Tamandua tetradactyla: one gene and its partners. The protein of the gene in region 4 interacts with the protein of the main gene of each other region in a biochemical or structural test. Links are inferred from orthologs where the notes say so. Each region holds a gene or a part of one and is shown on either strand. Other genes may lie near its edges.

Region 1 (6,906 bases), on a different chromosome or scaffold from region 4:
CACAAATTTCTCTAAGAACTTATTGAAACAGTGGTTCTTCTCCCCAGAAACACAAGTCTGCTCTCCACCCACACACAATTCTGCAAGTCTCAGGAGCTCAGGAATGCCCGTGAAGAGTCCCCGTATTAACAGAATTGCCTTCCCTTGTCTCCTCCCTGGCCCCTCCCAGGCTGGAGTCCAGGGTACATACCTGTATGAATGGCCCAGCTACGGAACAGACAGGCGTCCTTGTTGATGTCCCAGCCATGCTTGGCAGCATGCTTCCACGGGATCTGGAAGATCATCTCCTCCTAGACAGCACAGACAAGGCTGCATCACCTCACAGAGACCACAGCCTTTGGAACTAAGTCTGGGATAAAGGCTGACTTTCCCTTTTCATCCTGACATCTAGCTTACATTGACTCACCCTGAGATTGACTTAAACTCTGGATGCTGGGGCACCATCAGCTCAGCAAAGACCTCCTTCTGCCTATTACAGGTGTGCTAGGACCACCCCAGAGTCCACTCCTGTGTAGCCCTGGTTTCTAAGCTCTAGGATGCTTCTGTCTGGCTTGTCAGCATCCACATGAAAGGTGCTGCTGAGAACTTCCATTAAAGGGACCTGCTCAGGACATCCGGGACCACAGGGGGTCCTGGCCTAACCTGCGGGAGCCCTGGACCAGACTTGGATGCCAATGACCTTTGTCACCCTGGCACTATCACTGTACCTCTTTGCCCCTCAGTTTTCCCTTCTGTGAAATAAGAAAAGAGACCTAAAAGAGCTTTTTGTAGGGATAAAATTAGAGGATGTGTGGGGGACATAGTGAAAAATATAAAGACTGAGGCCTCGCCGATGCTGTTATTGGTAGTTAACAGTGGATTTTTGAGTCAGACTGCTCACGTTCATATCTTGGCTTTCTAACTTTCTATGTGATCTCATTAGCTACCCTCAGGGCCTCAGTCCCCTTAAATAAAAATGGGTGTATTAATAGAATTTACCTCACAGGCTACTGTGAGGATTAAATGACATAACACAAAACAGCACAGTGCCAGGCACGCTGTGTCATTAAGTATTGGCTAATGTTATGAATATTATTCTTATCACTATGTCTGCAGTCTCCAGGTTTCCCTAAGCACATCAGCTGGAGGCTTCTTTGGCCAGGGCAACTGGTTCAAGGTTAATTCTGGATCTCTGCTAAGCCTGCCATCTTCCTATCCAGCAGTGCCCACTTCTCTGTCTATCTGCCTGGAGCCCTGTAAGGATGGTTTTGTGTGTGTGTGTGTGTGTGTGTGTGTGTGTGTGTGTGTGTGTATGGGTCTCCCTCAAGAAAGGCCAGGACTCAAGCTCTGCAGATGCTGGGAGAGTTTTGCTGCTAGAAACTGTAAGTGCCCACAGGCAGGCGTCCTGTCTCCCAAGAGAAGGGAGGAAGGCAGGAATCAGGGCAAATGTGTCCTTGCACACTCCCTGCATGCACAACCCACCAGGAAACACATCTGTCTGTCCCCTTATCACTTCCCTTTTTGAGCTGTATCTGAAACTTTGGTCTCCAAAGAACATGGGTTAAAATCGTGAAGGAAAAACCCAAAGTTACACTCACTTTATTAATCCAGATCAGCCCCGGGATTTGGTTGGAATTAATCTGCATCTCTAGCCAGGGTCTCATGCGCATCCGAGTGATGGGCATGTTGGCTGTAAAGAGAAGACAGAGGGCTCCTGTTTGGAGTCTGTTTATCAGCCCCTGGGCACTATCTTGCCCCACCAGAAGGCACTCAGTTACTCTCCTCTTCTCTCACACACTCTAGGAACCCTGGGGCCAGGTTATAAGGCACTGCAGTTATAGGGAGGAGATCTGTGCTGGAATAAAACCACCCCCCCACCCAAATCTTTTTAACATCTCAGACAAAAAAAAAAAAGGGCACTACTGCCCTTTATTTCCCCCTCCCACCAATCCCGGGAACAGACAGGCAAGCTCAGGATTCAAGTGCAGGAAAAGAGACAAAATATACGGATGTCTCAATACCGGAACTTTTCTCCCCAAATCCAAATCCTTTGGAAAGGGAGGGGATTCTTTTGCTTTATCCAAGAGATTTCTGGCTTGAGTTGTAACCACTTAGCTGTGCACCTCCCCTCATGAGCAAGCAGCACCTGCGCCCTGGACATTTGTCCCGAAAATCCATTCTACATCTGCCTGCCAGTCACGGCGCTCAGGCCGGGACACTAACTCTTCTGGCCTGGCTTCCCGTCCTCATCCCTCAACTCCCTTCCCCGGACGAAGTGGCCCAAAGCACCTGTAGCGCCTCCTCCGGCAGCCCCGGCAGATTAGCCGGGGACAAGCTTCACCCCAGCCACCAGCAAGCACAAGGGGGCCCGAAAGCCTGGGGCCTGAGCGCAGAGTTGAGACCGCGGAAAGCCCGAGTCAGGAGCGCAGGTCGCCCAAGCGAGGCGTACACCCGACACCCCGCGCACCGCGTTAGGATGCACGCTACGGACATACCGGGTCACCCCGATGTCCCGGGCCGCTTCGCGCAGACAGGATCTGCGAAAGCGCAGGGCTCCCGCAACCTCGGCGGGGTGGGCGGACCACGACGTAGCCCGCCCTCCCCGCGCCGCCGCCCGCCCGCCGCTCTTGCAGCGCCCTCCCGAGCGCGCGCGGGGGCCAGGCTACGCCGCGCGCCCGCGACTCTCCCGGCCCGGGCGTCCGGCCCCTACTTCCTGGTGCCCCGCGCGCCTTTTGTTCGACGCCGCCGGTTTCCCCCGCGGCGAAAGCGGACTTACCTCTCCAGTGGGAAAATCTGGAGGCGGCGCCCAAGGGTCCTGGCGAGGCGGGGGACGGCTGTGCGGGCGCTGGTAGCGCGATCCGGGTGGGAAGGGGAAGAAAGCAGAGGATGCCTGGGTTGCAGGGCCTCCGGGCAGGGCTAGCCTAAGCTTGGCACGGCTCCGGCTGGGCTCGGCCCGACTTGGGCGCACGTCCTGCCTTGGCGAAGGAGTGGCGCGCTCTGCCGAGACAGCGGCGCCACCGAGAAATCTAAACACTTAGCGGGATTCCCCCAGCCCAGGCCCGGCCCCGCCTCCTTAGAGTCGCGCGGGCGCCCATTGGCGGGCGCCGCCACATCATTTCGGGGAAATCAGGCTGTTGTAGAGCTAGTGGCGAAGGGGAAGTACAGGGCGGCTGCTCCTCCCCACCCCCTCCGGCCCGGCGCAGCCGCCCGGGGGCGACCGTGGGCCCGCCCCGCCGGCACCCACTCTACCCCCACTCCAGCTGTCCTGGAAAAGAGGTTGTCCTGGAAGGCCGAACGTCCCGGCCGCAATTAACCCCGCCCATTCTGCTTTCTTGCAGCTTGCAAGCTCCTGTGGCCACCTCCTCTCCCCTCTTGCGTGCACAGGTGAAGGGGTTATCCAGGCACCTGCCGCCCTCCCCAAGAGACGCCCTCCCCACGTGACTAAAGCCCGAAGAAACAGCCTGCCTCTTCTAGCCTGTTAATGGGGAGTCAAAAAGGGAGGGCTTTGGCCCTCACACAGCCCCCATTTGAGGGGTCACTCGCCTGTCCTAGGGACGAAAGGAGGCTGAAAGCCGATCCTGTCTGACGCGCTGCCTGGGGCTGCTGCGCGGGAGGCAATTTCAGTCCAGTCTCTATAGCACATCCTGCCAAGGTACTCTGGACCTCAGTTTCCTCAACTGCAAAATAACAGTCTTACCTTGCAGAGCTGCAGTGACGAGAGAGGTGATGTTTGTAAAGTGCCTTGTCCCATTCGGCACATGCTACATGGTTTGCAAGGATCCTGCACCAGGATCTCACAGTGACCAGCGAGATCCCTCCGCCTCGTGTCCTGCATCCCTGAACCTGCCCCCTGGCTGGACTTCTGGAAAGGGAGGAGAGGAAGGGATCCTGACAAGCTGGGGCTGCAGAGTTGGGTTGGGGGTTGAGGCAGCCTGGGTCCCTGTTAGCACTCCTTCTTTAGGCCACCTCCTTATCCTCACAAGGCCTCTGCATGGTATTGCCTCTGGGTTCCCAAGGCCTGTCCAAAGGGTTTCTGGGCAGCATGGGGGAACTGCTTGGGGCTGGCCAAGGCCATGGGTCTGGATTGAGAGTTGGGGAATCCAGGCCCCAGGTCCCTTGGTAAGGGTAACAGCTTAGCTCTGTGCTCACAACTAAACCTTGCCCACCTTGTACTCCTAGAGGCTGAGCTGAGTGTTCCTCTTTCCTTTCCGAACTGTGGCCAGGCATGTCTAGTCCCTTCCTTCACCTCCCCAAAGCTGCTGACTCAGAAGTAAATCACTCTTCCAAGCAGAGCTGTTTGTGTCACTCCACACCCCAGCACTACCTCCACAGCAGCACCCAATTACTTTGATGCAGGCTATTAATACAATCATTGATACCGCATTCCACCTATCAGTCACCCCACTGCCTACCTCCCACAGAGAAAGCCGAGGGGTTTTTCCAAACGTGGTGCACCAGAATCTGAGAACTATAGTTGACACTAAACCTGGTTCCCAGGAGACCAGCAGGAATAGTCAGAGCTGTCTCCAACCCAGACAGAGGTGGCTATAAGAGAAGTAAGGAGGAACTGCAAGGAAATAGCCCTGTTGGGTGTTAAGGAAAACGGAAGGTGCTGAGGCCCTGAAAGGGACAGGTGGAAGGAAAGATCAGTAATAAATGGGAATGGAACCCTGCGACAGGGACCAGGAATTTCTGAGCAAGAACAGAAAATAAGCAGCTCCTGAGTTTTCAGGTCTGTTCTCTGTCAGTGGATACCTGTGCTGTCCCCCAGAACCTGGGGAGGGATAGACACTGCCACTGGAAAATTCAGAATGAAATTAGGAAGAGGAAGGTTACATGTAGTGCCCTGAGAAATTGACCCGAGTGATCCTATAAAGGCAACTGGAGAATGTAAAAAGTGCTTTATAACAATAACTTGTTTAATTCACAGATAATCATCTGTGTGTGTGTGTGTGTGTGTGTGTGTGTGTGTGTGTATAAGCATCTTTCCATGCCATGAAATGTAATGTACTGCTCCAGTGTCATTTATAATGGGTACATATTAGTCTGTCATAAGGATAAACAAAAATTTACCCAATTAATCCCTTATTATGGAACATTTAGGTTATTTCCATTTTTTTCCCATACTATAAACCACACTGTGTAAATCCTAGTGCATAGCAACAATTTTTTGCTTAGGAGAAAATCCCCAATTTTAGGAGTTACCAGTGAAACTGTCCTTTACATCTTTGAAGTGTCCTTTGACTTTTTTTTTTCTTTTCACTTTTAACTTTAGGTGTTCTTGTTTAACATGAAGCCTCTAAGAATCAGCTTATCTTGATTGGGGATGCTATACTCCAATTCAGTGAAATAAAGCTAAACTCTGTTTAAGCACCCAAGCTTTTATCGTAACTACACTTGAATCTCATAAGATCTATCACACATTCCCTGTGATGCTAAGTAAAGCGCATAGAGCCTCTCTCAGCTTTTCATAGTAATTCAGAGCCATGAAGGACCAACTGGCCCTCTACCCTCTCTGTCTCAAAGCTCTCATCATCTTCTGTAATTCCAGCTATTCCTTCCGGGAAGGCATCTTCCAAAACCAGGCCCTGGCTGCGTGCTGGACACTCCCCTACAGCCCCACCCACAGATTCACACACAAGCAAGCAGAACTCTCAGCCTCCCCTTCTACACTGCCTCTGGTAGCTTCCCCTCTTCCTAACTGCAGCTCCCTCCCTGTTGATGTCTTTGCCAACCTCCTCCCCCCTTTGGCTTATCTGGTCCTCTGGGACTTCCTTCCCTGCATCAGATCATGTGTTCACATTCCAGGACCACACTGCTGTTGCCCTAGCCTCCCCTCCCTCTTCCCTCCCTCCTAGGCCTGCCCCTCCAGGTGTCTCTGTACAGTCCTTGGGATGACATCCCTAACATTCCTCTCTACTCAGGAGCCTTCAGAACTCCTCCAGACTCCTCAGCCCCACATTCATATCCCTGCTCACTCTGGGTCCCATTCCAGCCATCTCTCCTTTTGCCTCTATTCAGCAGTAACTAGAGGGTGGTAGAAAGGGAACACAGGGTTTGAGTCTGAAAGCCTGAGTTCTTGTCATGCTTTTGCCATTTGCTGTGTAATCTTAGGCAAGTTACTGGGCCTCTCTGGGGCCCAGTTTCCCATTTGTAATTTGGAGATAATCCTTAGCCATCTCTCCTGATTGTTGTGCAGATGAAATTAGATAGACTATTAAAATCCTTCCCAAACTGTAAAACATTAGTCAAATGAAATGTATTAACTAATGTTTGAACCTTTCACTGTATTTCCATCCTCTAAACACATGTTGTTTTCCCCTCTCATGCCTTCCATTTGTTCCTCATCCTTATATTCCCGGGAGACATAGCAACACTCACTTATCTCTACCTCTCTCTCTCAAACACACACACAATTTCAGTCATCTTTTTAAGGCCAGAGCAAATCCTTGGTCTTTATGAAGTGCCCCAAAGCACCAACCACGAGTCTTTTTCTCGCTCAGAACCACTTGGCCCTTAAATTTCAGACGTTACCTTTTCATCATTTATCATCTTCTGGGTGAATACATTCTGGGGATCAAAGTCTGCAAGTTTTCTGTAAGAGAATTGAGTTGAGTCCTCACACCCTGCACTCTGGAGTCAGTAGGAATTAGTAGGTGGTGACCACCCACCTTCTCTGGGGCAGGGTGTCATTCACAAGATGCCTCCCATCCATGCCCTCGCTCAGGGTGAATTTCTCACGCGGCTGCTCTGTACCAGGTCCTGGGGATTTCCAGGCTGGTGGAGGGGCTGACGGCTGGCAGGGCCCCCTTTGACATGATGTCTACAATCAGCATCACTCCCTGCGGAAGCCTCTGCCCTTGTCCCTAGCTTTGCCTCTCAGGCTCTCAGAACTCACTGTTCATTCCCCAGGTGAGCCCGAGCGCG
Region 2 (7,244 bases), on a different chromosome or scaffold from region 4:
GGATCCCTTGCAGCCAGACTCTGCCACAGTCTTTGGAGAGGAAGCATAGCCTTTCTGATGCTTTGATTTTGGATGTCATTTTAGCCAACCATACAGTATTTTTTTTGTTTTAGCAGTTAGGAAACTAATACATACAGTGTCAACAATGTTTTGAGCATTAAGTATATATTCTTTTACCCTGAATCTTTTCAGATCAGTTTCCTAGCTTGAGAAAAAGCCAAAAATGTAATAAGTATTACAGGCACTAAAAAGGAACTAATCATTAGTATTTTAAAATAGTTAAGCCATTTAAAAGAGAACACATTAAGAAAAAGATCTCCTTCAAGAGTTATGTTACGCCTTTGCTATAAATATCTGATAGTGTTCTCTACTTCAAAATACATTCCCATCACAATCACATCTTTAAGAAATATTTCTTGAGTGCATTCTATGTTTCAGTACTTTTTAAGACACAGAAAAAACATATACAAACAAATCGAAATTTCCTGCCTCGATGGAGTATATTTTCATTCTAGCACAAGAAGCAGACAATAAAAAGATAAGTAAAATACAAGTTTGTTAAGAAATATCAAGAAAAAAACTAAGAAGAGATTTGAAGTGGGTTGGCTGGGCTGTAGTGAAAAGAGCAGTCAAAATTTAGATGGGGTTTAGGATCTGTCTCCTGAAAAAGATACCCTTTAAGTAAATACCACAAAGTGAGGGAACAAGACACTAACTGGAAGAGCATTCCAGAGGGTACAAGTGCAAAGAACCAGAAGTGTGGGAAGAACACGACTGTTTGAGAAATAGCAGAGGCCAGCTTCCATGGGCCTGAGCTGTTTAAAAACAACAATAAAACAGAACACTCAACTCCCTAGAAAAAGCTAGCATTAAATCTTACCAATCTCCAAAGAACTTCCTCACATTAGGGGACAATTATATTTTTAGTTGGCACAAAAGGAAAATATAAACAAACAAAAACCACTTTGTCTCTAAAGTTGTATAGATTTGAAACAGTACCTATCCTTGGCCTTGGAGTCCAGTCACTAGAGCTTGCATGTGAGGCTCTATCATCCTCATCACTTTCACAGGAATGAAAGCCATTGGTGATAATTTCATCATTGAACAGAAGGTTATCTGCAAAAGAAACCAAAGTAACTCAAGACCGCTGTAACTACCTGCATCTAAAATGTATGAAGACCTATAACAGTTAGATACAAGATTTTCACTTAATATCATGCTGTGTGTGTGATGAATGCCTACTGGATCAAGTCGAATTCTTCATGAGAGCGGTAACTTCATCTTTAGGGATTCTATCCAGAATCTAAAAGTAAATCTAAACATAAAGTCTATTAAAAAAAATGAAACCAAAAAGATAGGGATTAATTGAATTTGTCAATCACAAACAATAGAGTTCATGAATACTATCCAAAAAGAACTTATAAAAGAGGTTCAAATATAAGCACAGCAATTTGCACTTCTAACTCTTATATAATATTAGACAGAAGATATCTTTGCATTATTCGTTTCTCCTACTAAATGGAGTTTCTTGCAATGAAGGGTTGCTTTACTAATTCAATCCCAAATGCACACATAAGTATTGATACAGACGTACACCTATTTGAGATCAAGTGCTCAAATTAAAGATACGAAAACCTCATGGATGACATGCTACATAGAACCAATGCATCCGCCCCAGCATCCTAGAAAAACGCCAATTCGTGTTTCAGGGTTATATATACACACTGAGAAAGAGTATACTTAGCCTAAAAACCGTAACAAGAACATGATTAGAAGGAAAAGAATATCTACATAAAGTACTTTAAAACTACGATCATTCTCTGTGCCCAATGTTAATTGCATCACAGAATAACGTCTTTCGAAACAGCCATGTTCTTTAAACTTTACATACTATGTTTTCACAAATAGTTTTGCTCCTTAAAATTTAAAACTTCAAGCTTAAAAATATAGACCCTCAAAAAAAGTAACAATCTGCATAGATGTCCGTTTGCAAAGGTCCATTAACGGGACAGGCGGAAAGTTGCAGACTTTGCTTGGAGTGGGGAGGGGGCGGAGATAAGCAAAAATCTTTAACAAAAGCAATATGCTAAAAGGAGAGAGGGAAAAACTTATTTTAAAGCCAACTACTAGAGCTTCCCGACCCAGCGGCTGCGCAAAGCGCAGGGCCTTCCCGGTGGGCGGCGAACAGAGACGGAGAGACAGAGGGAAGGAGGGAGGAAGCCAAGAAGCAAAGGAGCGAGTTAGCTGGGCCGCTCCCGCGGCCTCTCCGGCCGCCTCGGAAGAGCGCAGCTGGACGAGGGAGCTTGGTGGCAGGGACGCCGAAGGGCCTGCCCCAAGCCCCCGGCCTAGCTCCAGAAGCACCCACCCTACCGCCAGGAGGGGCCCCGGGGAGGGAAGAGGGGATGCGCAGTTCCGAACGCCCGCGCCCTGCGCACCTCGATACCCAATCGCCGCCACCGCCTCTTCCTCCTCCTCGCCTTCGTCGTCGTCGTCGTAGAAGTCGTCGGCCGGCGGCACCTCTCGGGATAGGCCCTGCAGGCCAGGCCTATTGTCTCCACCGGTCGCCACGGCCGCCTGGCCCTCTCGGGCCTCGCGTTCTCCGCCAGCCACCGGCACCGGCACCTCCCGCCACAGGGCCGTCGCTGCCGGCACCTCACGTTGGGGGGCCGCCCCGCCGGGCTCGCCTGGTATCCGCCCGAGGCTGAGGCCGTCTCTCCGAGGCCTCTTCCGGAGCGGCTCCCCCGCCGGCGGCGACCTGACCTCCGTCTCGGCCGCCGCCGCTGAGGGGGAGCCGCCGGGCTGAAGGGCGAGTGCCGCCTCGTCCGCCATCTTTCAACTGCCTCTCTGGCCCTCCTCCTTTACCTCCTCTGCTCCCGCTCGACGCGCGGCACTGGCGCCCCCGCGGCTCTGTCTGCGGGAGATTTAAACCTTATCACGTGATCCGCCCCCTTGTCGCCCCCGCCCTCCTGCGGCTCCCGCCACCCTCGCGGGCCAGACCATAACACCGCGGGTCACGTGGTGGTGGTGGGGCGGAGGCCTGGGCTGAGCCGCGGCGTCAGGGCTTGGCTTGGGCTGGGAGGAAACGCGACTTCCGTAGCCCGCGGCCCCGCCCCTCTAGGGCAGAAGCGTCGCGCCGCAGATTTCGCCCTTTCGCAGCTTTTTCAACTTCTCTCAATCTGTTCTCAGATAATTGCTGCCGGGATGGCTCAAGTTTTGGTTCACTTCTGCCTAAAGTACACACTTGCCTACCTCAGGCTTGCCTCTGTTTAGCGAAGGGTTAAATGTTCCTGAGAGGCGAAAAAGAATGAAGCTGGCTTCACTTCCAGAAATGTGATGGATAGTCATTTCTGTTTTGTTAATGAAAGACGAGGAACAGAGAACGCCCCCCACCCCTCCACGACAGTCTGACAGCTCCTTTTTGGCTTTTTCTTCTTACTTTCTCTTTGAAGTCGATTGCTTATTTTCCTATCAGTTGTAGAATTGTGCAGGTTGTCACATACCTGAAGGCATGTGTCCGCCTGGACATCCTCCCTCTGGGGACATAGGGATCATCAGATATAGTTTCTCGTCCCAGCTTGGCCCCAAATGTGTGTGAATTCCCTTCTCTAGGTCTCGTTTCTCCCACGTGCTGAATGAGTGTGTGGGCTAAGTGGAACGGTATGAGGAGAACACTGGATTTGGGCTAGAATTTGGGGACATCCTTCAAGCTTGAGCAGTTTAGCCTTTTTAAACCCAATTTTCTCATCCCCCAAATGGTAATAATACCTATTTTGCAGAGTTATGGTGAGCTAAATGTAAAATGAGGGATACAGAGTACCTAGAAAAATACTAGTTCCTTCCCTACTTGAAGCCCCTCTAATTTCTACTTTACCTGAGGCCCCGGGTGAAATTTCTTCCACTCCATATCTAGACTTAACTAAGGACCCTTACAATGCATGGCAGATTTAGAGCCAATGCTTGGTGAGTCACCAACGTGAGCACTGCATTTTATATCTGCAGGAAAGACCTTCAGAGGTTATAGTACACCTTTCTCTAACCATAATATTGGTCCTGGCTATACCACCAGTTACCTGCGTGCCGTATACATACACTTAAGCGGTTTCTTCTTTCTAAAATTAAAAAAAAAATTACGATGTTGGAATGTATCTCAAAGGTCCATCTAAATCCGCAAGTCTTTGTACGTCCCGACTGGACTTCTGCCTTACCAATGTTTGAGAACTATTTGCCTAAAACTCAAGTAGTTTTAGTGGCTATGGCCTACAAGTTCGGATTTAGTTTTTTAGATCCCAGGTGAATCTGGCTGTCTTAGTTTTCTGTGCTGCCATGACAAATGCTACATTCTGGTTGCCTAAAACAATAAGAATTTATTTTCTGGTGGTTTCAGAGCCTAGAAATTCAAAATCAAGGCATCAGCAAGGCCATGCTTTTTTCCCCGAAATATGTAGCATTCTGATGCTGGCTTCCTGTAATCCTTGGGTTTCCTTGGTTTGCATCTATCTGTCCCCATCACATCTCTCTCTTTTCCCCTCCTTGTGTCTGGTCTTCTATTTTCCGACTTCAGTTTTCTTCCCGTGACTTTCTTTCTATAAGGTCTCCAATAATATGCATTAAGTCTGCCATAAATTAGTTTGGCCACACCTAAATAGGATCTTAGAAGACCCTATTCACAAATGATTTCAGGCCTTAACTGATAATACATCTTCAAAAGGTCCTATTTACTAATGGGTTCACACCCACAGGAATGCAGATTAAGTTAAGAACATGTCTGTTGTTGGGGTACATGATTCAATATATCACACTGGCCTTGCCCTTCTTGTAATTTTTAGCATTAGTATATTCTAAATTGAGCTTTTCATATTTTGTAAGTAAAGGGAAAAAAAAGGAAGATCTTTAAATTCTCACATGAAATGACCTCCAAATGACACAGTGCAAGAAGCAGAGCAGTGTATATACTGTAGTGCTATTTGTAGAAATAAATGAAGGTGGTAGGAAGGCCGTATATACCTATCTGTTTTTATATGCACAACATTAATCTAGAATCACATCTTAAATTAAAATAAATACATGCCTTCCACATATTTGTTATACTTTTGCCTGTGCCTTCATCCTTAGAATATCCTCCCTATTTCCTATTCAGTATACTGTTGAGTACATTACACTATTTTATTTATTAACATTTTTCTTTAGTGTTTTATGACTATCTCCCCCAACTATATCAGAAATTTTTTCACCTGGGTCATCTCTGTATCATCAGTTCTCTAGCACAGTAACTAGCACATATATTTGTTGGATGGATGAATGAATGAATAAAAGAATGAGTGAAGAACCTACATGAAAGTTTCCATATAGGAAAAAAATTATTGAATAATGGTTATGGGTCAATATGGACTCTACCAAAAATGATAAGAAATGTGTTAGTTTGCCCCCAGTACCGTTCAGATGACAATTAGTGAAACTGATGACATGAGACTTCTGGCACCTTGTTTGATAGGTGTATTGGGCTATCTCAGAGATTCTGACTTTTGACACTAATCATTAGATTATTTAACTCTTTCTAATGCTAAACTTCCTAAGTAGCCTTCAACAGTAATTTGACCTCCAATATAGAATTTCTCAATGGGGAGAAAATAAAGAGCCAACATTAATATTCTAAATAGTGTGGAGGTTTATTTCTATAAACTAATAAATGGTCTTAGAGCTTTGATATATATCAGGTGATTATGATTAGTAGGGGATTTAGTAATGACTCTCTGTGTACTAATAAAAAGGAATCAGCAAAACAGATTATTAATAGAAAGAAAACAAATGCAGAGCCTTCCCTCACACTATATACAAAAATAAATTCCATTGGACTAAAGATCTAAATGAAAAAAAAATTAAAATATTATAAGATGTTTTAGAAGAATATTTATATAACTTTGGATCAAGAAAGAACTTCCTAAACAAGACAGAAGCCATTAAAAAGTTAAATATGTGTGACTACATAAAAATTTGATATATTATCAACCCTATCAGTGTCAGGAATATGCAATTCAAACAATGAAGTATCATTTTTACTCCTTAAATAAGAAAGAAAAACAACTCACAAATTATATTGCTATCAGAATACAGGGAAATTGATACTCTCATGTATTATTGCCATAGTATGACATCATATTATAATCTGAACAGCAATCTGAAAATATTTACTAAGATCGTAAGTACACACATACATTTACTTCAACCAAAAATCCCCTGTGGAGAATATTTGTCTTAAAAAAAAGAAAAGTGCTAATAGGTAAAGATATAAACACAAGAATGTTTATTGTGACACTGATGATGCTGGGAAAACATCAACATCAAGAAATGATCCAGAGGGCCAACAAAAGGAAACTTGTTCAAATTATTATGGAATACTACACAACCATCAAAAATCTACAACTGTTGTTGAGAAATGTCAATGACACACTAAGTGACAAAAACAAGTTACACAATAATATATAACTTATGCACTTCTTAAAATTATTTTTAAAAATTAACCACAAAGAGAAAAGTGTGGAAAGATATACACTAGACAGTTGAGATATATCTGAATGTGAATAGTGTGGTTTGTGTGAACCTGGAGCAAAGTGTAGAAGGATATAAACCAGTCTGTTGACTTTGGTTATGCTGGGGAAGACGGAGATTGCTGTTTCTTCTCTATATATCATCTGTGTTATTTGGTTTGTTTCTCATATTGTTTTTGTAGTTTGAAAGGAAAATTCAATATAGCATTAAAAGTATTTAAAAATATCAAGAGGAGGTGAAATTTTACATGAAAAAAATAAAGAGGTTCTACATTTTAAATAAAGTGAACATTTTATAATAAAGTAAAAAATATATAATAACCGATATATAAATGTGGTTTATAGAGGCAGGGAAAAAGTATGGAAATAAACATACCAAAATGCTAACATTTGAACATCCCTTGATGTGGGGGTGGGCATGATTGATGAGCTGAGAAAACATCAATATATATATCTGGTTAAAATTTCACATACTATAATGAGTACTTTTTATTTTAAGCTAAGGGAAAATAGTAACTTGTTTTTGAAACTCCAAGGCTGAGGACCCTGGAGGTTTGAGAAGTTGGCAAGCTTTCTTGTCTTGCACAACTTCTTTTAAATTTTTCCTGGTTATATCACAAGTTTAGCAGATGTTATTCTTTTATGGTTTCATGTATGTTATTTAATTCTTTTGACTAGGTTATAACACAAGTGCTGACT
Region 3 (7,362 bases), on a different chromosome or scaffold from region 4:
AGCTGTAGGCAAAAATGAGAGATGGAGAGAAAGGAAATCTGGCTGTACGCCTCAATTTCTGATGTTTCCTCGATGAGATGTCATCGTCATGCTCCTTAAACATGTTTCTGTGAAGTCACTGCAAATCTGCCATCATCCTGTCCCTCTGGGTGAATATCCTTCTAGGGCAAGTTCCCAGCACTAACAATCTTTTTGCAGGCACTCTGGGCTTTTCATCTGGGAAATCAAAGCCTGTAATGAATGTAATTTGGAGGCCTGACTCGAGATCATGTTTGATTGCTGCCAGCCTGACTACATGTCATATGGAGAAGAGCCAAATTCTTCCTTTCCCAAAGGAGTATTTAAGTGCACAGGTTTCTGGTTCTCTCCCACCAGCCACCATCATGACTACACATTGACACCAGTTCCAAGGGTACAATGCTATTTATAATGGGCAAATACTAGTGAAAACCTAAATGCCCAAAGACAGTCATAAAATAACTTTGCAATAGGTCCAGGCAGTGGAATATTACACAGCCTTTAAAAGGGGGGAAGTAGATTTACATGTCCTGATGCGAAAGATGCTCATTATAAGACTGTTGAATGGTAAAAGCAAACTGCAGAAATGTATGTTAAGTGTGATCCCATTTTGTTTGATATTTACATGTAAGCATATGTAAAATATATGTCCATGTGTAAATTTTTCTGATTATTAAGAAATATCTGGGAAAAATAACTCATACATTACTAACAGTGGAAAATCCAGGGAATGGACAAATTTCACTTATTGCTTTATGTTTTTTGAATGGTTTGAATTTTTGTCAGTGAATGAAATTTCTTGATTAAATTATAATAGTAACAACAATTAATCACAACTATCTAGTTTAAAAATACACATATTTCATGCAGCTAAAATGAGCACCCTTTGTCCAGAATCCACTCTCATAGTCATATACACAAGGAAGGCATTATCTGATCAGGGAAAACACACCTCTCTCCAAGTGTTCAGAGTTCATAAAAACATTAAAGCAATCAGAAAACACTGAGGTTACTTAGAAGATAGGAAAGATACACCTCAAAACATATCCTGAGTTTCTGAGACTCTATGGGTTTCTGAAAGGTACTGAAACATTTAAAAAATAGAAGACATGATAAGTTCTTTTTTTAAAAAAAGCTCCCTTTTCTCAGTCATGAGGCCACCGATACTCGAAAATGAAATCTGAAGTGAGATTTTAACTGAACATGTTTCCTAAAGCAAAGAATCCTTAGAAATATGTTATTAAGAAAGGTCAAAGATGAAATTAGTAACGAGCTACCACCTTTCTATTATACCTGTTCCAATTTCTCTTACCCTGCTTGATATCTGAAAATAAACATGTGATCTTGCGCTCCTTTCTGAAGAGTTAGCTCTACCAGCCCATACTCTGGTACCAAACGGGCTGCCTGAAAAGGAATCCAGGTTGCAGGAAGTTTGTGTGTGTGTGTGTGTGTGTGTGTGTGTGTGTGTGTGTGTGTGTGTGTGTGTGTGTGTGTGTGTGTGTAGGGAGAGGGGCCGTTTTAATAAATGTAGAAAATGCATTCCAAAGTAGGAAGGTTGCACTTTTTTTTAGATCAGCTATGAGCATCATGCATCATTTAAAAAACAATGCTCATAATCATGAGAAATGTTAGGAAGCAGTGTGGGCAATCTGAAAACCCAGGGACCCTTCAGTTACAGCAACGGCCAGTCAATAAAATAATTTAGTGCACCAGGATAAATTAGAAGGTATTTGTGTGACTTACAGGAAACTTCACAGAAGGTACCCTTTGAGTCACCATGCCTCGTAAGTCCTTGCTTCTTAGAGTTGTGGCCCCACAAGTAGAACACTCTAAATGTGTTAGAAATGCAGAATCTCAGGCCCCACCCCCAGCCACATTTTAAGAGGATCCTCCTAAGTAATTCCTGGGAATGCCAACAACTGAGGTACATTCATAGCCTAGCTCATTTAAAACTCTTTCATTTACACACAGCTTTTGGGCAAGGGCTGCACACACCATTACTGCATTGGATAGAAGTTTTTAACCTGTCTGGGTGAGTTTTCTGTGTTTGTGGGACAACACAGCAATTGCCCCAGGCAGGGCCAGCCTCCAGAACACTGCATGAAAACAGCTCTGCAGCTCTGTGCAGGCAGGCTCCCTCCCACCTGCCCGGGTTTAGAGTCAAAGAGATAGTGGGTTGGAAACCTGACTTGGGACTCCAATCCCAAAAAAGAGAACCAGAAAGTAAGGCATCCACTCCACACGTTCCTGTGTGAGATGATCCCAGACTAGGATGGGGCACTTGGGCCGGCCACGTGCCATCCCTGGCCAGTCTGTTGCATCTGGAGGAGCTGAGAGATGTTGTCAAGGCAGGTTGCTCAGTCCAAGTAGAAGGGGTGCAGGATGGTGCGGGTTTCGACCTGGGAGACAGACTCTCCTCGCCCCACCCCACCCCCAACACCCCCAGTTGGGTCCCTCCAAGGTTAAGGGTGGACGACTGGGTTTGAGTGCGGCTAAGCAGGCTTCTGGAGAGAGAGGAACTATCAGAGAGAGTGAGAGACTCTTAGATGTCAGAGAGACGAAGGCTGACAGCAGGTGGCCAGAGAGCCAGGTGTCGGAGATCCCCAGCCTGACAGACAGACAGACAGGACGCGACCCCAGGCAGCCGGAGACCTGACTCACAGGTGCGCGATGCCCGCCTTGCGCACGGCGGTGGAGATGGCTTTGACCGCCGTGCAGAGCGAGTTGAGCAGCTGGGTCATCTCGCCCGTGCCGCGGGCCTTCCTGCCTTCCTCCATGACGAAGCGGGTCAGGGTGTTCACATTAGTGTCGAAGGGCGCCTGGTCCGTCATGATGGGACCCGACTGGGGCGCGCTGGGCGGCAGGTGCAGGCGGCGACAAGGCAGCAAGAGTTCGACCCAAGCGCGCCGAAGGTCTGCACCGTTAAGAGCGGACCTGGTCCAAGCGGCGTACCGGAGGGGTGTGTCTTGGCGGAGCCTATAGGCGCCGAGTCCCCGCCCCCCACGCTCGGGTCCCTCCCAGGCCCCCCACGCCAACCCCGCCCGCGGGGATTTCACTCAAACTGCCTGATATTGCAGTGCTCTTGGCTCCCCGCACCCCGCAGTCGCCCGGACACGCCTCGGTGTGGGCGGAGCACAGCCATTTGCGTTTGTGGAGCGTCACTCGGGGCCGCCCATCTGATCTCCTTCAGTCCTCACAACAGTCCTGCCCGAGAGGTACAGTCGTGATTGACTGATTGATTGATTTCTGTATTTTTCAAACTAGAAAGCAGAAGTTCAGAAAGGTTAAGTCACTCGCTCAGTATTGCACAGCTAGTAAGTGAAGAAGCCATCCCCGCAGCCCAGCGTGGCCGGGTCGCAGCGCCCCCTGCCCTTCCATCGCCGGTGACCCCTGCTGGGCTTGTTTACCTGGTTTTTCTGACCGACCTCAGAAGTGGATGCCCCTGCCCTGATGGCCCAGGTGTGAATCCTTAATTCAGGCCTCTTCCTCTTTATAGAGTCCTATAATTTGAAAGCTGTTGGAAGGAATGAAGTGCTGGTCCATACCACAACGTGCGTGAAGCGTTCAAACGTTACGTTGAGTTTATGAGCTAAGCCAGACACGAAAGGACAAATATTGTATGATTCCACTTATATGAAATATCTAGAATGAGCAAATGCATGGAGACAGATTAGAGGTTAGCAGAGGCTGGTGGGAGAGGAAAATGGGGAGTTTTTGCTTTACTGGTGCAGAGTTTCTGTTGGAGGTGATGAAAAGGTTTTGGTAATGGACAGTGATGATGACAGCATAATATTGTGAATATAATTAGTGCCACTGAATTATACACTTAAAATGCTTAAAATAGGGCAGGCCACGGTGGCTCAGCAGGCAGAATTTTTGCCTGCCATGACGCAGACCTGGGTTTGATTCCCAGTGCCTGCCCATGTTAAAAAAAAAAGGTTAAAATAGAAAATTTTGTTTTATGTTACCACAGTAAAATTAAGAAAGAAAAAAAAGGTGGGGGGTGGCTACAGGGAATCTTAACTTTCAGCACCTGCATTTTTTGCAGAGGAAAAGCAAAACAGTTGCAGAGACAGAAAAGCGCCTCCTACCTACCACACGGCTAATCCATGGTAGCTCTGGGGCCTTGAGGCTCCACAGCCCATCCCTTAACTGCTTTGCAACCACAGAAGTGCTGCCCTAAGGCTGGTCATGCCCTGATTCAGTTCATAACATCTATTGAGCACCTACTATGTGCTGTCTAGTATGTGTACCTACTAGGTCACTGTCGTAAGCAACTGGGGATAGAGCCTGAACAGAACAGCTAAAACTCCTGCCCTCATGGAGCTTACTTTGTAACAAAGAGGCAATGAACAAGCTAAATAATAGCTCTAATATGTTAGATGGGGGTTAGTGCTATAAAGGAAACCAAAATAGGAAAGGAAGATGGGGAATGTTGGGGAGGAAGAGATAAATAGAGGAGTCAGGGAGGTTTTATTGAGAAAGTGACATTTGAGCAAAGAACTGAAAGACCTGAGGAAGGAGCCAGTGGAGATTAGAGAAAAATGTTTTCAGCAGTGAGAGAAGGAAGTGCAGAGACCCTGGGGTGAGAGGGTGTGGCATGTTGGAGGAATGGCCAGGAGACACTGTAGCTGGAACAGAGCTAGCAAGGGGCAAAAGGGAGGAGATAAGGTCATGGATGGTAGGATGGTGGTATAGGGCCTGGGAGCCTGTGGAAGGTTTTACCTTGACTCCAGTAGGAAGGAAACTATTAGAGAGTTTTCAGTAGAGGAAAGGCATGACCTAATCTGATGTTTTTACATGATTACTCTGGCTACTGTGTTTAGATTAATCCAAAGAGGAGAGAGGACAGATACTCCTGAGGTTACTGAGAGATGGTGGGGGGTTGGGCAGAGAAAGTAGCCATGGAGGTAATAAGAAATGGTTGGATTCTGGGCATAGTTTGAAAGTGGAGCTGATGGGATTTTTTGACAAGTGAAATGTGTGAGAAAGGGGAGTCAGGGATGATTCAAAGGCTGGAGAAGAATGGAGCTGCCCTTAACTGAGATGGAGAAGACCAGGAGGGGAGTATGCTGGAGACACCTGAAGAGTAGGGACTAATTCTGGGACATACTCAGTTTCAAGTGCCCATTAGACATCCAAGTGACTGCCAAGTAGGTGGATTTATGAGTCTGGAGTTCAGAGGAGAGGTCATTGCTGGAGGTATACATTGGAAAACCTCAGTTGTTTTGAGCCATGAGATTGGGAGAGATTGCCAAGGAGGGGTAGGTTGGAAATCAAGAGAGGTGGCATCCAAAAGCCAGATGAAGCCCATGAGTCGAGGAGCAGGGGGTGATGGCTGTGCTAAAAACTGCAGATGGGTTAATCAAGATGAAAACTGAAAACTGCTGAATTTCGTCGGTGGAATCTAGGGTGCCCAGGAATGTCACATGGGGGAGGCTTACAAGAGAAGGTGGTGGTACCACCAGGAAAGACAGTACTTGTCTCTCCAAGGGGGTGTTGATAACCACTGCAGAGAGGGCAGACCGCTTGAGGCAGCACAAACTGCACTTAGCTCTTTGTTCCTCATGCAACTTTTCAGGAGAAGTAGCATGGAATGTTAAAAAAATGTCTAGAAGAGATATATTTCCTTAAATATAAAATCTGCAACGTGATGACTAATGCTTTTGGCCTAGTAACTAGTATAGCCACTCCATTCAAGGGTTTGCCCATTTACATCTCAGATTTCTAATCCCTTAGAGTGATGGTTTGGAGCTGTATGTACTCCCAAAAAAACATGGTCTTAAATGTAATACCTTCTTGTTGGTGTAACCCATAGTAAGTCGGGCCTTTTTAATGTGGCTACTTCAGTTAAGGTGTGACCCACCTCAGTAAGAATGAATCTTGATCCTATTACTGGAGTTCTTTGTAAGCAGAAAGAAATTCAGGCAGAAAAAAAGCCATGGGGAGCAAGAAGCTGAAATTTAACAGAACCTGAAAGAGAATACAGAGGCCAGGAAAGGCCGCCATGTGCATTGTCATTTGACTGACAAGCCAAGGACCAAGGATTGCTAGCACCCAGCTCCAACATGCCAGTCTTCAGGAAGAAAACATCTGTCTGATGATACCTTGATTTAGATTTCTCTTAGCCTTAAAACTGTGGGCCAATAAATTCAAATTGTCCAAACCAACTCATTGCATGGTGTTTGCTTGAGCAGCCAAGGAAATGAAGATGCTCAGTAACTTGGATTGGCTAGAACTGTAAAAGTCATCTAGTTCAACCCAACCCTTCTGAAGCTTGAATCTCTTGGACATCATCCCTGATGAGAAGATGATGATGGCTCTAAACTTGGCCTTGCCACTTACTGGCTGTTCAAATCTGTGCAGGTTACTGAACCTCTCTGAACAGCAGTTTTCTCACCTGTCAGGTGGGGCTCTTGAATGTAGCCACCTAGTAGTGTTGATGTAAGGACTGTAGCAATGCCACTGAAGTGTGTAGGGATGGTGCCTACGTCATCTTTTGCTGTCAAATGAGGGCTGAAGAAAACAACCCGAGTGCCCATCAGTGGATGAATGGATAAACAAAATGTAGTACATCCAAACAGTTGAATATGATTCAGCCATAAAAGAATGAAGTCTTGTAACTCTTAACCTCTTTAAGAGTTCAGAATTTGGGTTGGGCAGGCCTGTGGGATTTCCGGCTCTAGCCCTTACTAGCCTGAACATCTTGGGCCAGTTACCCAATCTCTACAAAACTGGTGTATTCGTCTGTGAAAGAGTGATTGTTCTAGCTGGCAGGGTTATCCTGAGGATGAAATGAGATGCTCAGAGCCCGATGCAGAGGGCACAAAATACATGGAAGAGACCCTTTCTAGTTATTTACAACAGTCATCCACAATGATAGACAGCTCAAGCCAGCACCCACAAGGCCTAACATTCCCCTTTGGAGTGAGGCCACTTAGCGAGATGGTTAAGTTCATAGACTCTGGAGCTAGGTTTCCTGGCTCTAAAGTTGACCTTGCCACTTACTGGCTGTGCAAATCTGTGCAGGTTACTGAATATCTCTGAACAGCAGTTTCCTCACCTGTCAGGTGGGGCTCTTGAATATAGCCACCTAGTAGGGTTGATGTAAGGACTGTACAGAAATGCCACTGAAGTGTGTAGGGATGGTGCCTGGCATGTGGTAAGCACATGGTATGTACATGTTTGCATTGTTATGATGTGGATAACATCAACTGTTGCTTTCATCTGAACAGAAGGAATTAAGTTCTCTTGCCATCAAAAGAGGGCTGAAGAAAACAACCCAAGTGTCCATCAATGGATGAATGGATAACCAAAATGTAGAACATCCAAACAATTGAATAT
Region 4 (7,643 bases):
CCACAATCATCTTGAGGGCGCGGTGCAGCTGGAAGTAGATCTGTGGGCAGGGAGCAGTGTGAGCAGCAGCGTGGTATCTGCCCACCCTGAGCCCACCGAGACTCCCGGCCCACCCGACCCCGCACCAGCTTCTTAGAGAGCAACAGGGCAGTGTTATTGTCACTCTCCAGGGCCCACGAGGCGAAGCGCAGAATGTGTTCCTGGTGTTTCTGGATCTTGGTCATGGTCCAGTGCTGCCGCTCCAGGCGCTCCTGCTGACCCTCAGTCACCTTCTGTGGGGTGGGGGCAGTGGGCAAGGGGTGGGGTCAGCAGGGGAGAGATGGCCCAGGACCCTTCCAGCCCAGAGAGAGAGACAAGACCTGGGCATCGTTAACCAGCACACGGCCCCGCTTGTTCAGCTCCTTCATGATCTGCAGGATGGCCATCTTGACATCCACCTGCACGCGCTTCTGCACGTCAGACACCTGGCGGATCCTGCAGTAGGCAGGTCAGGGCGGGTCAGCCCCAGTGGGCACAAGGCCAGATTCCCCCCACAGCCCCAGCATCCCCACTTACGAGCTGCGAACCTCCTTGGTGCTCTTCTGCAGTGTTGCATGCTTGTCCCCAAGGCGCTTTACCAGTGAGGCCAAGAGTTTGCGCTGGTTCCTCACTGCATCCTCCAGAAACTGATACCTGTAGGGCAAGGGGGAACATGGTGCTAGACACACAACACGGGATAGGCAGCCCACACCACCCTACCCAGGCCAGCCACGGGACTCACTGGTGGTCCTTGTGGGCATTGAGCTGGCAGTCCCGGCAGGTGAGGGTGTCACAGCTCTCACAGAACAGCACGAGTGGCTCGTGCTTGTGCACGTTGCAATAGACAGTGCGCTCGCCATCTCGCGACTTGGCTGGCCCTGCAGGGCGGGCACCATGAGATGGGCCCTCACCTCTGGCCACCCGCACCTCAAGCACCCCACAGAATGCTGCTGGGAGTGCAGGGAGTACCAGCCTGCAACCCCAGCACCCTATGCCCGAGCCTGGCCAGACAGATGTCCTGGCTCTTCCCACTTCTGAGAACACTGACAGTAAGGGTGCTCTCCACTGCTTTCTGCCCAGCTGTGTACTTCGAAACAGCTCCTACCCTCAGGCCTCCTGACAACACCCCCCTCTGAGCTTTCTCCTCCATCCGTGGCACCATCTGCCCAGCAGAGTGTGTTCACCCACTACAGCATCAACACCTATACGGAACAGACCCAAAAACACCCTGCCTATGTTCTGCTATGCACAAGAGCTGTCTGCTGACCTCCCCTTTACAGCTGAGCAAAACAAAGCCACACACCACTTACAACCTGAAAGTCTACAGGGGACCTTTCTTGGCTCCACTCATCTGAGGAGAGAACATGTTAGACCAGCACACTCTGGGACCAAAATAAATCACCTACCCTACTAGAAAGCTGCCCCGGCACATCGACCCTCCTCTGTCCATCTGCAACATCCGATTCTGTGACAGCTCACCTAGCCCAAGGCAGGTGTCACTTGAACAGAAATCAGCAGGCCTCAGTGTCCCAGCTGCTGCCTTCTCCAAGGCATCTACATCTGCCCTAAACCTAAGACCCAATGTGAACTCCTGTTCCTCCCTCTCGGCTACTCAGGCCCACTCCGGGCTGCACGGTAGCTCTGACAGGCCAACTCGTGGGCCAGACACCAAGTCAGGCTCAGGAGCTCCTGAGCCCCTTTCCACCCTAGAGCCACCCAGAAACTGGAAACAGCACCCGTGACTGTAGGCAGAAAACTGCCATCCCACAGCTAGGACATTTTGGGGGCTTCCTGTCACTGACAAACCCTGGGTCAAGAGACCCATGTCCCTAGGCCTCAATTTCCCCAGTGTTTCCTCAAGCCAGCGTACCAGAGAACCCCTAGTCCAGGCAGCCCCTCACATCCTTTGCAAAGGACACTGGCTTTCCCCACCTGTACCTGCCTCCCCTGCCTGGACCCTTCACAACATTCTCTCGCAAGGCTCTCCAATGCTATCTGCTCCCTGTGCACCGAGGCCCCTGTCCGAACCCCCAGAACCCCAACCCTCCTCCTTTCAAGGAGGTTTGCCATTAGGGACTGCTGGCAGTTCATCCTGAGGCACCCCATGTACCGGTGGAGCGCACGGTGTGGTCCTTGGTGTACTTCACCCGCTGGTGCGCCTCCACGCATGTCTCGCACAGCGGCTCAGAGCACTCCACACAGTAGCTGGTGGCCGGCGCGTTGTCCTCACAGCTGGTGCAGCACTGTCGTGCAAAGGTGGGGTCATGGGGGCGGGGCCGCAGATGGCTCCACATCTACATCCCAACAACCCCCACCTGAGAAGGGGCATCCCTTTACCAGGCCAGGTGGCCCGCCGGGAAGCGGTGGGCACCCTCACTGCTGATTCGGGCCGCAAGCCACCCCAGGCCCCTCCGCAAGGCAGGGGGGCAGCACGCACCTGGTTTGCGTCCTGGGAGTCGGTGGCGGCCTTGCTGCCATTATCGCGCATGAAGTAGTTCTCCACAATGTCTTTGGAGAAACACTGCTGCTTGCACACGGGGCAGTCCACCACTGCGAGGCCAGAGAAGAGCAGGAGAGGGTAAGCGCCGGCGGCCGCGGGGCGCTTCGGCCCGGGCCGTCCCCCGCCCCGCCCCCGCACTCACCCGCGCCGTCCCCCGCCGCGCCGCTGTCCCCGGAGCTGTTGGCCGCGGCGGGCGCGGCGGGCCCGAGGCAGGCGTTGCAGGCTGAGTGCAGGCAGGGAAGCAGGCGCGGCTCTCGCTCGGGCCGCAGGCGCTCCCGGCACACACCGCAGTGCTCCAGCAGCTCCAGCGCCTCCCCGCCGCCCGCCGCTGGCGACGACGCCGACGCCGAGGCCGCCGCCGAGGAGGCGGAGGCCGACGCGCGCTTCTCGCCGCCCGCAGAACCCTCGCCCGGGCCCGGGCTGGCCGAGGCCGCCGTGGCCGCTGAGGCCGAGGCCGAGGCCGCCGCCGCCGAGGCCGCCATTCACACGCCGCCGGGGGCGCCCAGGGGGGAGGAGGGGCGCAGGGCCCGCCGCGCAGGCGCAGACGCGATCGCCGCCAACGGCCGCGCCGCCTGGGCCGCCGCAGCCGCCGCGAGGCCGAGCGCCGCCCGGGCCGCCGCCAGCCGCGCGCGGGGCGCCGCCGAGGTCTGGCCGGCCGTCGCCTGCTGCCGCCCGCCGAGCCGCCTCCCAGACGACGCCGCCGCCGCCGCCGCCGCCGCCGTCGAGCTCCCGCCCTGCGCCACGCGAACAACCGCTCGCCCGCGCGCCCGCTCGCAGAAAGAGCCGCGGCCGGGGGGCGGGACAGAAATAACTGGCGCCGACGCCGTTGCGCATGCGCGCTGGTCGTCGCGCGGTCCGGGGGCGGGACTTGAGCCGACCGCGAACCTGTCAGTACGCACGCGCAAGCGCTGGTCCCTCCCACCACCGCCCCGCGGCGCGGCTCGCGCGGTGGGGGCGGGGCCACGGGACGTCCGTCCCGCCGCTCGGGCGGGCGCTCCCCCAGGCCCCAGCCCCACCTGTAGGCCGCGCGGAGGCCGGCGTCTGTACTGCGCACGTGCGAAACCTCTCCAGCCGTGGCGTCACCAATGGCTCCGTGGGGCGGGGCCGAGGGGAGGGGTCGAGGCGAGGGGCGGGGCCAGAGGTGAAGGGTCCCCATCCCTGCGGAAAGGGTGGGTGGAGGCGGGGACCTCGGTCGTTTAAACCTTTTTAATTGTTAAATGTGAGAAATACAGGAAATTGCCCCAAACCCTAGGGGTAACAAAGCAGTCAAACCGTGAAATCCCACCCGACCCCCCCCAAGCGTCCCCTCCCCGTCACCCAGCCAGCCTCCGTCCTGACTTTGATGCTTTGCCATCATCTGCCAGGTGGGCGTCTCGAGCCTCAACAGTGGGCCGGGGGTCCTGTCCGAGGAGGGGGCGGAGGGGTCCTGTTTGAGGAGGGGCAGGGGTCACTCGGCGTGGAGGAAGCTTGCGGGAGGGACCGCCACGGGGCGGGGGGGGTCTCGGCCGCTCTGCAGTGACCGCGGCGCGCACAGGGCCCGGCCTGCCTCAGTGTCCCCGGTGGTGGCGCGGCCTCGAGTCGCGGACACCGCGGCAGACGGGGAGGAGGCTTCCGGGAGGATGGGGGCCGCGGCGGGGGCTGGTCCGCTCCCCGGGGCGCCTGGACTGGGCGTGGCCTCCCCGGCGGGGCTGGGGGAGGGTCGCACGGCTTGGTTCCCGCCCCTGCCTTTGTTCGAGCCCCGGCGCGCGGCCCCTAAACTCCGAGCCCCGCCCCGCCGGGTGGTCGCGGCAACGGCGCCCTGACGCCCCCCGCGGTGGGGTTTCCCCGCTGACCTCGCCCGGCTGAGCCGGGGGCCACCCCACACCCGCAGCTCCTTCCCCGTTAAGGTTCCTGACCGCGGGCCCACCCTTCTCTAGTAGTTGGGGACGAAGATTGGTGGCCGGCCGCGCTGGGCGCAAGCTGTGGGTCCCCTGCCAAAAGTAACATATGTTCTCCGCCGCGTGCTGGGCCCCCGAATCCCAGGAGCTGGGGCAGCCCCGTGTTGGGCCCTGCGGCAAACGCCTGGTCGCGGAGGCAGAAGAACCAGGCTGCTCCAAATAAGTAGGTGATGGTCAAGAGCACAGAGGAGGGCCCCCTAAGGGCAGGACACCCCCACACCCTGAGGGCAGGAGCCCCAAGTGCAAAGGCCCTGAGGCAGGCCGGGCAGCTGGAGGACCTGGGCAGGTGGTGGCTAGGCCCCTGCCACCCTAGGGTCACCTGTGCTCCATTCCAGCCCCTACCCACTCCCTCACTAGATCCTGAGGAGCCCTGGGAGGCGAGGACCTACCAGACGGCCAGAGCTTCCAGACAGGCGAGATGAGCAGAGGTCCATCTGGCCTCCTACTCTCGCATCCCCCACACCCCTGACCTCCCCTTCGCTGCCTCCTGCCCTCCAGACACTACACCCCTTTGCAGACTGGAGGGGGTGAATTGAGGTGCTGAGATGGCTCCGCGTTCTCCCACCCACTGGCCTCTCTCACCCACTGGCCGTTCCTCCCTGACTCCCCACTCCAGCTCAGACTTCTGTCCAGGATTAAGGCTCAGAGCTGTTCAGAGCTGTTGTTTTGTTTTGATAAAAGCCTTATTGAGCTATAATTCATATAATTTTGCCCATGTAAAGGGTACAATTCAGTGGTTTTTAGTGTATTCAGAGTTGTGCAACCATCACTAATTCCAGAACTTGTCCAGTACCCCGAAAACAAACTCCTACGCACTGGCACTCACTCCCATTCTCCCCAACCAATGGCACCACTACTCTACTTCCTGCTTCAATGGGCTAGCTGCTCTTGCAGTGACCCTTTGGGTTTGTGTTCCTTTTTCTCCTTCCTTCATGCTTCCCAGCGCCCTGCTGTCCACGTGTCCTCACGCCAACCCCTTCCCACCAGCCAGCAGCCGGGGCCTCCGCTGGTACCCTGAGCCTCAGGCTGCACGTAGGCACGTCCGTGGGTTTATTACCTGGTGGGGAACTGCAGGGACGGGAGGTCACACCCTGTCCTGGATCTCAGTAGTTGTCACAGCTGCACAGCATTGCAAATGTACTTCACGTCCCTGAGGTGTGTGGACTACAGTGGGAAAGCGGAGCTTGTGTTCTGTGCTCTGCTGCACATGCACATGCAGGGTGAGTCTCCAGCCAGAGTCCTGGGCTCCAGCCCTGTGACCTCTAACTTCGCCTTGCTCCAGCCCCAAGGCCTAGCCTGCTGTGCCCACTTCGGAGCCTGTGACCTGCTGCCCCCTCCACGCAGACCACTCGCCACTCTGTTGGGCCAACTCCTAATGCGGTCCCTGAGCTCTGCGCAGTCTCGGTGGGTGCTATGTACCTGGGGGCCTGGGCCTGTGGGCGCCCAACGCCCGGCCCGCAGGTGTGGAGCCTGCAATGCGGCCAGGCTCTATCACTTTGTTTTTTCAATTTACTTTTCAGTGGGTGTGTGTATGCACACACACAGACACACATCCCATAAAGTTTGACCTTTTAACCATTTTTAAGCAGACAACTCGGTGGCATTACTGACACCCATAGTGTCCTGCAGCCATCCATCCCCAAAACTTTCCCAGCACCCCAAACACAAGCTTGGTGCTTCCTAGGACTGAGCTCCCGGCTCCTCCTCCCCTCAGCCCCTGGTACCCCATCCATTTCTCTCTGTGTGAACGTGTGGACTCAAGATTTTTCACATAAGTGGGGTCATATGCTGCTGTCCTTCTATAGCGCAGCACTTCATCCCCTTTTATGGACAGATAATATCCCATTGTATGAGCGTGCCACGTTTTGTTTGTAGGTTCCAACACTTTTATTTTTACTTTTTTTACTGAGGTAAAATTCACATAACATGAAACTTACCTTTTTAACCATTTGCAGCGTACCATCCAGTGGCATCTGGTACATTCACAGTGTCATGCAGCTGTCACTGCCGTGTGCTCCCACAGCATCCTCATCACCCCAGCAGGAAGCCCAGCACCCGTCACTCCCACTCCCATCGCCTCCCGGCCTGGAAGCCAGCAGGACTCGATGAGCTCTCAGTGGGGTTATCGACACAGAGGAGGGCGGGCACACCCTGCGCAGCCCTGGAGCCCCCCTGGAGCACCACAGATGCACTCTGCCTGCTTGATGCACAGACTTGCTCCTCCAGTACAGCCAGGGCTTCCTGCGTTTGGGGCCGCCCTGAATGTGCTGTCGCAAACACAGCTGCTGGATGGACACTGCCTGCCCTTGGCGGTTCCAAGCTGGGCTTTTCTCTAAGTGTGATGAGTAGACAACAGAAGGTCTTAGCAGACACAGCATGAGAATTCCCATTTCAAAGCCTCCTGGTGGAACATGGTTAGGAAGAGCAGGTATTAGTTTAACAAAGCTGCTGTAATGAATTGCACAGGCCACGCAGCTTAAAGCAACAGAAATGTATTCTCTTATAGCTCCACAGGCCAGAAGTCCTAAATAAGGTTCATTATGTAGAAATCAAGGTTTCATCAGGACTGAACTGCAGGGCATGTGGGAGGCTCTTGAGGAGAATCGGTTCCTGCCTCTTTTAGTGCCAATGGTGGCTGGCACCCCTTGGCTTTTGGCCCCGTCGCTGCAGTCTCCAAGGCCAGCCTCCTTGGAGCTCCCTGTGCCCTGAGGTCCTCCCTTAGGGATACACATGATGGCATCAGAGCCACCTGGTAATCCAGGGTGAGTCCTGTCACAAGATCCTCCTCAGGTAACACTTTAGGTTCTAGGGATTAGGACAGGGATATTTTCCAAGTCCAGTATTCAGCCGACCGACCGAACTTCCCATTTCAAAGGCAGAACAGCTGACCCTGAGAGGGGTGAAGGATGGCCTGGAGCGCCCCAGGCTGGATTCAGAAGTACCTGCACCTCTCCCACCTGCTGCGTTCCGGGGCGGGGCGGGGAGAGGTGAGGACAGAGACCACCGTCTGAGGTTACAGAGAGGGAAGAGGAGGGAAGGTCCTCAGGGTCCAGACTCAGGTTTCTCTCCTTGCTGAGAGCACCAGGAGCCCTGGGAGAAACGGCTGATTCCAGGGCCAGAGCAGTAGCAAGCCCAGGTGAGCCTGGAATACCTTCTTATGTCATGAAGTAAGGAAGTGCCCAAAGAAT

What was found.
Region 1: the proteins of TRIM28 (region 4) and IRF1 form a complex in vitro, tested with the Homo sapiens proteins (2 studies listed by BioGRID). The link is inferred for Tamandua tetradactyla from reciprocal best matches to the Homo sapiens genes TRIM28 and IRF1.
Region 2: of the proteins of TRIM28 (region 4) and SIRT1, one has a biochemical effect on the other in vitro, tested with the Homo sapiens proteins (2 studies listed by BioGRID). The link is inferred for Tamandua tetradactyla from reciprocal best matches to the Homo sapiens genes TRIM28 and SIRT1.
Region 3: the proteins of TRIM28 (region 4) and FBP1 form a complex in vitro, tested with the Homo sapiens proteins (2 studies listed by BioGRID). The link is inferred for Tamandua tetradactyla from reciprocal best matches to the Homo sapiens genes TRIM28 and FBP1.

The regions. Positions count from the first base shown.
Region 1 is NC_135346.1:11,122,398-11,129,303, forward strand, and holds the start of IRF1 (interferon regulatory factor 1), read right to left. Parts: upstream 3,003-6,906; 5' UTR 2,756-3,002; intron 2,542-2,755; exon of another isoform or gene 1,670-2,541; 5' UTR 1,665-1,669; coding exon 1,578-1,664; intron 291-1,577; coding exon 191-290; intron 1-190. UniProt on the Homo sapiens protein: Transcriptional regulator which displays a remarkable functional diversity in the regulation of cellular responses.
Region 2 is NC_135339.1:29,581,764-29,589,007, forward strand, and holds the start of SIRT1 (NAD-dependent protein deacetylase sirtuin-1), read right to left. Parts: upstream 3,010-7,244; 5' UTR 2,830-3,009; coding exon 2,436-2,829; intron 1,117-2,435; coding exon 1,000-1,116; intron 1-999. UniProt on the Homo sapiens protein: NAD-dependent protein deacetylase that links transcriptional regulation directly to intracellular energetics and participates in the coordination of several separated cellular functions such as cell cycle, response to DNA damage, metabolism, apoptosis and autophagy.
Region 3 is NC_135328.1:121,205,349-121,212,710, forward strand, and holds the start of FBP1 (fructose-1,6-bisphosphatase 1), read right to left. Parts: upstream 3,010-7,362; 5' UTR 2,850-3,009; coding exon 2,680-2,849; intron 1-2,679. UniProt on the Homo sapiens protein: Catalyzes the hydrolysis of fructose 1,6-bisphosphate to fructose 6-phosphate in the presence of divalent cations, acting as a rate-limiting enzyme in gluconeogenesis. Plays a role in regulating glucose sensing and insulin secretion of pancreatic beta-cells.
Region 4 is NC_135342.1:134,515-142,157, forward strand, and holds the start of TRIM28 (transcription intermediary factor 1-beta), read right to left. Parts: upstream 3,016-7,643; 5' UTR 3,001-3,015; coding exon 2,661-3,000; intron 2,569-2,660; coding exon 2,456-2,568; intron 2,262-2,455; coding exon 2,129-2,261; intron 897-2,128; coding exon 761-896; intron 673-760; coding exon 556-672; intron 475-555; coding exon 360-474; intron 273-359; coding exon 126-272; intron 41-125; coding exon 1-40. UniProt on the Homo sapiens protein: Nuclear corepressor for KRAB domain-containing zinc finger proteins (KRAB-ZFPs).